3 linked regions of the Arabidopsis thaliana genome follow. The protein of the gene in region 1 interacts with the protein of each later gene in a pairwise test. Each region holds a gene or a part of one and is shown in the gene's direction. Other genes may lie near its edges. The genes, in order: AT5G55100, AT1G32580 and AT2G29210.

Region 1 (3,759 bases):
GGTCTGAGATGATTCAGGCGAGATGCAAGGAGACGCAAAGGCGTGATTTTGATTAAAAGAAAATTACTTATTGATTTTATTTGTCGTGAAAACCACGAACCACTAATTTATATATTTCTAAATAAAGCAAATTGAAGCTATATACATCCTGCCTCTAATGGACACTTGCTTTAACTTGAATTCTAAAGTTCTCGATCCGCATACGCCCAATCAACCACGATTATATAATTTAATATATGAAAGGCCATTTTTACATTGTAACTTGTAACAATAGAATAATATGAAAATAATCTATATAAGTCAATAAATAAAAGTTTTTACTTTAGAAACACATGAGCAAGCTTTGTAAGGCTAAGTTCCTTCCATCGTCACTAGTCTTCTGTTCATATCAGACAATCTCTTACATAAATGATGTACAACTCCGTTCTCTTTAGTCTTTTCCATGGAGTAATTCAACTCTTTTTTTCATTCTATCTCTAATCTTCTAATATGGTACCATAGTTCCAAGTATAATTACCCGACATATGATTTCTCATAGTATACATATATAGTCAGTGGCGGATCTAGAACCATAATTAACCCGAGGCACAACATATTTATAAATTTTTAAAATAAAGTACAATATGAACATTTCTTAAAAGACATGTAAATGGAAGAAAATTTTTTGAAGTGTCAATCAACATTGGCAGTACCTTATATTAGCATAATTCCTTCAAACAGTTATAGAAAAAGATAAATAAAGTAAAAATAAGTTAAATACTGAAAACATTTATTACTTGAAAATAGTAAAATTAATGAGTAATAACCAACTGACTAGAAAAAAAGTCACTCTAACATGGGGCACAACAAACGAATTCTTTCATCTACAATACAAATTGCACAACAAACTTCAAAATTATCAAATCTTGCATGGGGCACGTGCCCCAGTACTTATACACTTGCGTCCGCCAATGTATATAGTCCGTTTTGTAGTGATATGTCCGAGACAATGAATATCTCACATTACAAATGAAAATACAAGGTATATAGATCTTTCCACTTTATTTTAAGTTACAAACAAACCCGTGATTCCTGATATAAATATGTGTAATGGAATCCGAATTATGATGTCCATTAGTACGATGATGACCATTAATTAAACTAATACAACTTGCTTTGTTAAATGTATGTTTTTGCATAAATGTGTACAATCTATATTTAGTTTTTGAAACAGTTATATAAAATTTGAATGTCCCTATAGTAGCTTACACTAATATAGCTCTATACACCAACGATCGAACTATCGAAGAAAATTCTTGAATAAACCAGTCAAAGACGTCCACAAGGCACAAATATTATATACGGTGTTGAAGAAAGCAATAGAGAGAGGTCAACGCTTTCCTCCAATTTGTTAAACAATGTATAAACTTTACGTCAAAAAAGTCAAAACCATTCCCTTGTTGCTTATTGGTCATTTTCCGACCTATACGATAATCTTATTGTTTCTCTACGATATCTTTCTGTTGCATTAACTATTAAGCCACACGCAAAGTCGTTTTACATTAACGTTAGTTTAATTAGATAACGTTAGTTTAATTAGTATTATTTCTACAGAGTAATTGCTTTCGAAACTTTTGAAAACAATGTGCCATACAGGTTGTTCAAACATGGTTAGATAGATGCATAAAATTACAAAAATTATATAGAGAGAATATTAAATCACTTAACCATTGTATCATGAGGAGATAGCTTGAAAGCCCTGACAAAGAAAGAGGGTTCATAAGTTACCTAAAAAAGAAAGAAAGAGAGCTCATAATATTTTCATCAAAGTAAAAACTCAATGTGGATAACCGTCACATCAAGACGAGGCAGATACTAGATTGAGCAAAATTCTCCAATGAAATCACAAATGTTGAAGCACTTTAAATTTGGAGATTTCACTGCTTTTTCACTCTTAGGGTGGCTTACATTTATTAAAGTTAAGGTTATGGGGAAAAAATATAAACTTTCTTAAGCAGGGTTGAAAACGCAAAAACATAAAGAATGCACGTCGTTGTTAGTTATTTTCTCCCAAATGCGTGTGGTTTTATTACTTTTCAAACGGCAAGTAAAAAAGTCTTATAAACGACGTCATTTAGTCGACTTGATCTCTTTTGTAAGTCATCACATCTTTGGGTCAATCACGAATTTGGAACATCCGGTTCCAAATTACGGATTACACAGACCCTAGCCTCTTCCCCAAATCCCAATTCTCCATTGCTTTAGAAGAATCACACAATGGATCTAGAGATTGTTGGTCGTCACGCTCTCTTTTTCGACGATGATTCGATGGCAACGTTTGTCAACTCTCCGACGGCGCTCGTTGACTGGAACAGCCTCTTTATTGACCGCTACGATGTTCGTCATCTCCTCTCTTCTCCTCCTCCTCCACGTATCAAACGCCGTCGTCCGAATTCAAACGATGCTGACTTGGAATCGGAGCTCGATCACGAGCGTTATCTAGATTTACCGTCGGAATCTCCATCTCCGTCGGATGATGATGAACACGGTAAGGATGATGAACTCCGTAGAAATCTCCGTTAATCTATATGGTAGAGAGACTCGAACTAGCTATGTTAGAGACATAAAACTGTTCTAGAGAATGATTACGAAAAATTCAGATCGAAACTTAATTTGTTTGCCCTTTGGATTTGCTTTACTCTCCAGATATGAATGAGGATTCAGCAAATACAAATGCGGATGGTTATCGTGCTGTCTCTTTTTCATATGGAAGCTCTAGTGATGTCAATGACCAGAAAAATGCTGCTGATATGGAATCTGGATTTCACCCGCCTTTCCCCGTGCCTGATTACTTACGTCAAAACCTGGTAAGTTATTGCTTTAGATTGTTCCCTTTAGCAGTATGCTAGTTTTTGCTAACTTATTTGGTACTTAAACTGATATTGGCCACGTAAACATCTGAAAGGTGCATTTGTTATTCTAAGGACTACTATGTCTAAGTTTCAGATGCTCGGAGAAGAGATGGAGTTGTCTAAGGTTGTCATTCACATGCACCTTGTTTCCTTTTGCTGCCATGACAAGGGGCAGTGCAGGTGGGATTAAGATGATAAAAATTCATGACTTACCAAGAACCTTAAAACTGATTGCACACCAGATGATGCATTTCTATACAGTTCTGAATTTTGCAATTTATGGTTCTCGATACTTATGTGAGGTTTTATTATGTATATATACCTGCGAGTTGCCAAAGGTGTCATTCATCATATTTCACATTACTAATTTTTTCTTGTATATTTTTTTTCTCTCTTCTTTCAGCCTCCAACTGAGAAATTACATCAGATTATCACTAGGACTTCAAGTTTTGTAAGCAAACACGGTGGGCAATCTGAAATTGTCTTGAGAGTCAAACAAGGAGACAACCCTACATTTGGGTTCCTAATGCCAGACCATCATCTTCACCTTTACTTTAGGTTTCTTGTTGACCATCAAGAGCTTTTGACAGGAAAGTCTTCTGTAGAAGAGAAAAAGAACGAAAGTGAGAAGGATGGTGGAGCTTTGTCATTGCTTGGTTCGGTTTATGGGACTGTAGAAGATGAAGATGCTAACGAAGAGTCTGCAAACGACTCCAAAACAAGTGAGTCCGCCAAAGGTGATGATGGTGTTAAGGTAACTGATTCCAATGGACCTGAAGGGTCGAAAGGAGCTGCAAAGATTGCCTCTAAGCATTCTCTGCCGTTGAATGATCATGCATCTTTCATAAAAAGAAATCCCTCTGTCAGC
Region 2 (3,759 bases), on another chromosome or scaffold:
CCTAAGAGTTGACAACCAATCCTTCTAAAACTTCCACAAATGAATAATGTTAGATTCCATCGCTTCTCTCGCAAATCCATTCGCCTCTAAAACAATTCTGGAAGAACTCAACTTCTCCTCTATATTCTTCAGCTCTTGGTTGTAGTTTTCAAAATAAATGGTGGCACACCATTTACGAGAATCAAAACAATGCGCTCCAAATTCCTGATCCCGTAAGCGAAATGATAGGTAGACACGTTGATCAGCTGAGTGGATTTCCCATCATACCGACAGACTCCATTCTTAGGTTTGATATATGTTTCAAACACGTATAAACATCATAACATTAATCAATATTTTTTTCACTTGTGTTGGATTCTTTCTTTCTTTGTTCCCTGTATACTTCAATATTATCTTAAGAGTAACATAGAATATATGTCATCAGATAGTAGGAAGATTGCTTCAGCCACTAAAAGCGAGAGCTCAACCCCTAGTCCTTCAGCCTCATCTTTCTGCTTCTCATTGGTGAGATCAGTCTCTTTAGTGTAAGGAATATTATTGACTGACCTAAAAGGTAAAGAGAATATCTAGATTGTAGTAATCTCTTATTGTTACGGATAACACCGTGAGCCATTGACATTGATTTCATCTTTTTTGAGATGGTCGAGATGTCTGAAGGATTCATCGAATATGGCTCTAGATGCAGTTTTTTTTTGGGGGAGATTTCAAATCTATGAATCAACATATAACGAAACAAAAATCAGATTAAATATATCACAAAACGTTCGATTCAATCGGGCAAGTGAGAGAAGACGAACCCTAGATTAATAGAAAGAAAATAAACGATGCAGTCACCTTGTTGTTGTAGTGTTCTCTGAAAACTTAATCTTAGACGAATAATATCTATTTGTATATAGGAAAAAGGCTTTAATGCTTTGTGGATTAAAAGGATATATATAGAGGAAAGTAAGGAAATAAATATTTATGAGGAAATTTGGTAGAAGATAAGTTTTTATCTTAACTAATGATATTATTTTATATATTTTAAAAACAAACCCCCGCGGGAGTTATAGATTGCTTTAATACTAACATTAGTAATGCAAAAATACTATACTACTAGGATTTAACCTGTGGTATACCACGGGGCAAATATTTTATTTATATATAGTAATCTTAAATTTTACGGTTTTAAATTTAGTATTAAAATTATATAATTTTATATTAATATTGTAAAAAAAAATTAGTGATGATAGAATAATAAATAAAGATTTAACCCGTGTTATATCAATGCAAACCCGTCCCACTATATAACTCGTCTCATAATATTTTAATATCTTTTTATAAGGATAAATATTAATAATGTTTTATAAAGTTAAAATATATCAATAATAATATACCATTAATGCTAATAGATCCCCTTAAAAAAGAATATTAGTGTGTAGTACATTTTAGATTTGAAAAGATTTAAATGATTGTTGTGATATATTTATTTTAATTCTAAATTTTAGTAACAAAATTGATTTATATTTAGATTTGAGAAGAAATTTGTTAAAATATTAAATGCTAATGGCATTGGATGGTAAATAAATCCCAACTTGAGGATTTATTTCATAAAAGTGCTGCAAAAATGTATATGTAGATAAATCTATTTTAACATAATTTTTCTTTTATTTATATATTTAGTATTATTAATTTTATTTAAAAAAATTAAAACATAAGACAAATATGATGTGTTATTTTCCCTTACTTGTATTTTATTGTTCAAATTTTTTCTATTAATAAAGCTATTTAAAAATATTTTGACTAATTATTAGAAATAAAACTGCCAAAATATGTACATGTTTAGCATATCTATTAGTAAAAAAGTTTTTCTATTAATCAAACAATTATAGAGAAATATAATTTGACTAAAAATCCGGGTTGACACTTCCCATTTATACCCTTGATCTGAGTTTTTTGTGATAATTTCATAGATTTGTTGGTTCTGGGAAATAACTTCTAAAAAGTTGTATGTGTCATATGCTGCAAAAATCTAATCGTGAATGGTGAATTCTAAACAAAGACGTAAAATTTTAAGGAAAACATAAATCTTACCGTGAAACTTTGAGTCAGTCGAGATACCATATATATTAGAAAAATAAAAGACATATATAAAGAGAATTGTGGTTGTTAATGAGAGACACATTTCTCTTAACTCAAATCCATCTATTTCATACTAATGCCAAAATTCCAAACATCTAATCCAACTTCTCTCTCTGATCAATCTCCAAATCTTCATATGCAAATCCCCTAATCGAATGTCTTACTCACAATTGTATGTTCACCTCTCCATTATTGATTTTTTTTATTTAACATATATAGAGATTTGTTGTAATTGCACTCGAACCAAAACAATAAAACATTTGTTATTTCAAAACCCTTTTCCAAGACGAAAAAGAAAACCCATTTCCATAGCTAACCTAGTGTGAATTTTGTTTTCTCAGATTTAACCTCCTCAAACGGTGAAATGGTAGGATTAATTTATCAAAAACTTACCTATACGGGTTTTATTTCACTTATGATAAAACGATTCGGCCCATTAACCCATTTTGTTTTTCTGCTAACCCATTGGCCCATTTAGAATTAAAGAATCATCTGATTTAGTCATTTCGATGGTTTTCACTTAAACCCTAGTCTAGTCATTTCTCAGACTCTGACCTCACTGATCTCCAATGGCGAAAACCCTAGCTCGCTCCACAGCGTCACGCATCACCAAGCGCTTAATCTCCACCTCCGGAGCCACCACTCCTTCCCCTTCTTATATCCTCTCCCGTCGATCAACCCCGGTGTTCTCCCATGCCGTCGGATTCATCTCTTCCTTGAATCGTTTCACAACGATTCGAACTCGAATGGATAGGTCCGGTGGATCGTACTCTCCTCTAAAATCCGGTTCGAATTTCAGCGACCGAGCACCCACTGAGATGGCGCCGTTGTTTCCTGGCTGCGATTATGAGCATTGGTTGATTGTAATGGACAAACCTGGAGGCGAAAACGCTACTAAGCAGCAAATGATTGATTGTTATGTTCAAACCCTAGCTAAAATTATCGGCAGGTTAGGGTTTCTTTCAATTTCGTTGATTCATTAGTTAGAAGAAGCATTTAGTTATTGTAATTAATAATCTCTTGTTGTTTGTTTAATCAGTGAGGAAGAAGCTAAGAAGAAGATTTATAATGTATCGTGTGAAAGGTATTTTGGATTTGGTTGTGAGATTGATGAAGAGACATCAAACAAACTTGAAGGTATGTCTTGTTGTTGTTGTTGTTGTTGTTGTAATGTTGGCGATGTAATGGATGGTTGTTGATTATTGTGTGTGTGTTTCAGGACTTCCTGGTGTTCTCTTCATTTTACCAGACTCTTATGTTGATCAAGAGAACAAAGATTACGGAGGTGAGTTTTATGTTAATACTGTTGTTAGTGATTGCTTTAACACAGTCTATGTTTCGTAGTTCTCTGTGTGTTCTGTTTTGTGTCATAATCGATCAAGACTAAGCTTAGAACTAGAATTTTCATATATCTACTCTCAATTAAGCACAAAATCTCAGGCGTTGTTAATGTTAAGACTGTGGAGTGTGGAAGTAGAATCCGTTTCCTGCACTCAACTAGACATAAGACTCTTCTGTGTCACTTTTGTGTGTTCCATGAGTTGTTCCCTGTAGAGAAGCCAAAACATTTTGATTCCAGCCTTAAGTGTCATCTTTGACACCGATCTTTAGTCTGTTTGTTTGATAGAGAAGCTGTTT
Region 3 (3,759 bases), on another chromosome or scaffold:
TTACATTATTTTCTTGTCAGCAAAGATTTGGTGAATTCGTTAATTCGATGATGATAACGTTAGTGACGGTTGCAAAAATGTTTCTGTTTTTACGGTTTTTTGATTCATGTAGAGGCAAAGTTTGTTTGTAATTGGAAAGAAAAAATAAATTAAATAACGAATCTTAAAAAGTCTTCCAAGTTGATTTTTTTCTTTACTGACATAAATTTTGCTTTATATATCATACAAATACGTCAAAGTCCATAATTTCGATGATGGTGATGACAAAAGAAAATATGTTATTATCTTTTGCATGACATGCCCTCATATATGAAACTGAAACACAGAGTTATGAGCTCATCTATATATACATTTTTGCTGCTACTTTGTGAAATAAATACTGGAGTTGGGATTTATTTACAACGGCTGCCACTGGCATTTAATAATTGTTTTTGATAATTAGAAAGAAAATCTTCTAATTAAATATTTGACATTTAACAATCTTCCCAAAATCTCTCAACCTTAACTACACGATTAATTACTAAAATAAAACTTCTAAAATATTTAATATCATTTAATTACTACAAAATTATCATTTTTGATATTGCTTTTCTGCATGATTATAATCATCAAACCGTAGAGATATTTGATAGCATTTAATTACTACAAAATTACAAAATATTTAGACAATAATTCATAAACATATCATAAATAAAATCAACATTAATAAAATAAATGAGTTTTTTTTAGAGGACGGGTTGGCGGGACGAGTTTGGCAGGACGTTATTTAATAACAATTGTAAACTATACAATAAAAATATTTTATAGATAGATAAAATTTACAAACTTTTATATATATTAATTAAAAAAATAAATTGTTTCCGCGGTGTACTGCGGGTTAAAATCTAGTCTAATACAATATTAGAGATAACTATAGTCATTGCTCTCATTTTTCCATTTGCATACTTATATGTTCTCAATTCTCATACCTACCTTATATTGTGTGCCCATACACCTTCCATGCGCACTTGTTGTCCACACAAATTACGATCAAACAACTGTTATATAGTTTCCACCCACACTTTCACCTATGGTTTAAGAAACATAAGTTACTCTAATGTAGTAGGACGAGTTGACCAAACCTAACTCCTTCATTTTGTTGCACCAACCCATATTTTTACCGAGTAATGCACACCCCAAAACTTATAATCATAGTCATCTTCCTTTCACGTCCCATAAGGTTCACATTGATTACTCTAATCTATTTCACTTTCAAGATTACCACCACATGTAACTTTTCCATTCCTTTTCCACATTTATCTCTTAAACCTCAAACACTTTCAAGTTTCATCTTCTCTCTCTCTTATTAACTTCATCTACCAACCCTACTTAACCTAAAACCATTTTCAATTGCTTAATCAGTCCACACAATGCACATAAATTTCCGTGACCACACTGTTCGTTTTAGAAGAAAAAAACCACTTCCAAAATTGCATATGTACCAATAAGATAAAATGTTTTACTCATTCAAATAGACCTACGAGATTAATTAAGACTAGGTTTGCTTTGGGCTAAAACTGGCCCATAAGCTATGGCAATTGAAACCAATCAGATTACAAAAAAGGCTTGTCAAGAAGATGAGACCGAACATGTTCCAATAAATGGCAATAACGTAATTCTCAAAACCTCTGAGGGTAACAATGGAAAAACAAAATGAAGTGAGTCCGATATAGCTAGGGCTCGTTAAAAACTCTTCAAAATCTCTGTGGAAGCCCCATTTTCACATCTAAATCTCACAAATCTCTCTCAAGCTTCGATCTTTCTTCTAGAGACGAGCTAGTGCTTCCACAAACCCTAAACTATGTCCGGCGGTTTCTTCCGGGTTAGTTTTCCGATCAATTTTCTCAATTGATCTCTCATCTTTTAGATCCAGATCGATGCAATTCAAAAGTTTTGTTGAAGTTCCCATGGTTTAATAACTTCTTTGTTTTGAGCTTTTAGGGTACTTCCGCCGAGCAGGATACTCGGTTTTCTAACAAGCAAGCTAAATTGATGAAAAGCCAGAAATTTGCTCCGGAGTTAGAGAATCTGGTGAGTTTTCTCTTTGTGTACTCGTCCATTTTAACGATTTGTGAATTCGTAGCTTGAATTTACTTAATTGAGATTCGATTACCAGATAATTCGATACATATGTTACTATGAAATTAAGTTTGGGGAGGGCTTAATGATGTCTTCTACTTGCCTTGGTGTTAGGTGGATATCACTAAAGTGAAGATGGATGTTATGAAACCTTGGATTGCGACTAGAGTCACTGAGCTTCTTGGTATTGAAGATGAAGTGCTGATTAACTTTATCTATGGTCTGCTTGACGGGAAGGTAAGCTCATTACTGAGATTTTATTTTTCTGAGCTTTTTATTCGACTGTTAATAAGTGACAGAGGGGTAGTATGATTTCGTAGCCCATGCCATTGATACAAGTGATTTTTTTTTGTTGGACTAATATGTAATTGAACGTTCACTATGTATGTAGGTAGTGAATGGTAAGGAGATTCAGATAACGCTAACTGGATTCATGGAGAAAAATACTGGCAAATTTATGAAAGAACTTTGGACACTTCTTCTAAGCGCACAGAATAATCCAAGTGGTGTTCCACAGCAGTTTTTAGATGCTAGAGCTGCTGAAACAAAGAAGAAACAGGTATTCTTGGGAACTCATTCTGAAGTTAGTTTGGTGAACGACTTGTCTCTGTCCTACTGTTTCATGATTATTATCCTTTATGTGGCAGGAAGAAGCAAATGAAATAATGAAGAAGAGGGAGGGAGATAAGAAGAACATTGAGCACGATATATTGAGGAAAATAGTAAGACGTTCTTATTCATGCTAGAGTTTCAGCTTTAGAGATGCTCTTCTGGTTTTAACATTCGCCTGTTCTTTCATGTTATTCAGATAGCTTCTGCAATTATTAGGGTTCATGTGCTTTACCTCAACTACTGTAGGACAGCGGTGTAGAACATAAGGAGACAAATGGCATGGATGCAAAACCTTCAAGAGATCGTCCAGAGGATGGGAGAAGGGCTGACGAGAAGAATGGTGTAAAAGAAAGGAGAAGGTAGAGTTCTCTTAATGCCTATGATTTCATAGCTACTCTCTACTCATCGCTGTATTCCCTTGTGTACTTTATTATTGATTGAGTTCATCCTTCTAGTCTACTCATAACTTTGTACGTTGATTTTCTCTATAAGAACTCGTGGGCATGAGTTGTTCAAGTATTTCTATAAATGACTGTTCTGGGTCTTCTAGTCTTTTAGCATTTTTAGGTATGCTACTGGTACTTTGCATGTGCATTTGGTTTGCTGGTGGTCCAGGAATTTGTTTGTGGCCAAGATTATTATGTAAGTGGGTTCTGACATTGCCTCCACTTGATGCAGGGATCTGATACCTCCACGTCGCGGAGATGCATCCCGCTCACCCCTTAGGTGACTCTTCAATAGTTTTGTTTTTTCTAATACAATTTGCTTATATGTGCAAGTATATATTGATTGGTTGCTTTACAGAGGGTCACGTTCTAGGTCAATCAGCAAAACAAATTCAGGCTCGAAAAGTTATTCTGGGTATGTAGCCTTCTGCAATTGTTTTTCTTAATCCAAAGAAATTGTAGCCTGTGATGTGTAGCTAGCTAGTTCTGTATCTATTATTTTCTGTAAATCCTAGTGCAGTTTTTGCTAATGCTGTCTACTTTTATAACAGCGAACGGAAATCCAGGAGCACATCTCAATCAT

What was found.
Region 2: the proteins of AT5G55100 (region 1) and AT1G32580 interact in a two-hybrid assay, tested with the Arabidopsis thaliana proteins (one large-scale study listed by BioGRID).
Region 3: the proteins of AT5G55100 (region 1) and AT2G29210 interact in a two-hybrid assay, tested with the Arabidopsis thaliana proteins (one large-scale study listed by BioGRID).

Annotation. Positions count from the first base shown.
Region 1 is NC_003076.8:22,363,162-22,366,920, reverse strand, and holds the start of AT5G55100 (SWAP (Suppressor-of-White-APricot)/surp domain-containing protein), read left to right. Parts: upstream 1-2,096; 5' UTR 2,097-2,256; coding exon 2,257-2,527; intron 2,528-2,685; coding exon 2,686-2,846; exon of another isoform or gene 2,847-3,294; coding exon 3,295-3,759.
Region 2 is NC_003070.9:11,781,418-11,785,176, forward strand, and holds the start of AT1G32580 (plastid developmental protein DAG), read left to right. Parts: upstream 1-2,125; 5' UTR 2,126-2,690; coding exon 2,691-3,070; intron 3,071-3,160; coding exon 3,161-3,258; intron 3,259-3,340; coding exon 3,341-3,406; intron 3,407-3,759. Other genes in the region: AT1G32575 (uncharacterized protein), read left to right, coding at 133-216. UniProt on the Arabidopsis thaliana protein: Involved in organellar RNA editing. Required for the processing of few RNA editing sites in mitochondria.
Region 3 is NC_003071.7:12,556,316-12,560,074, forward strand, and holds the start of AT2G29210 (splicing factor PWI domain-containing protein), read left to right. Parts: upstream 1-1,663; 5' UTR 1,664-1,840; coding exon 1,841-1,861; intron 1,862-1,980; coding exon 1,981-2,070; intron 2,071-2,232; coding exon 2,233-2,355; intron 2,356-2,509; coding exon 2,510-2,677; intron 2,678-2,765; coding exon 2,766-2,840; intron 2,841-2,976; coding exon 2,977-3,089; intron 3,090-3,408; coding exon 3,409-3,456; intron 3,457-3,534; coding exon 3,535-3,591; intron 3,592-3,727; coding exon 3,728-3,759.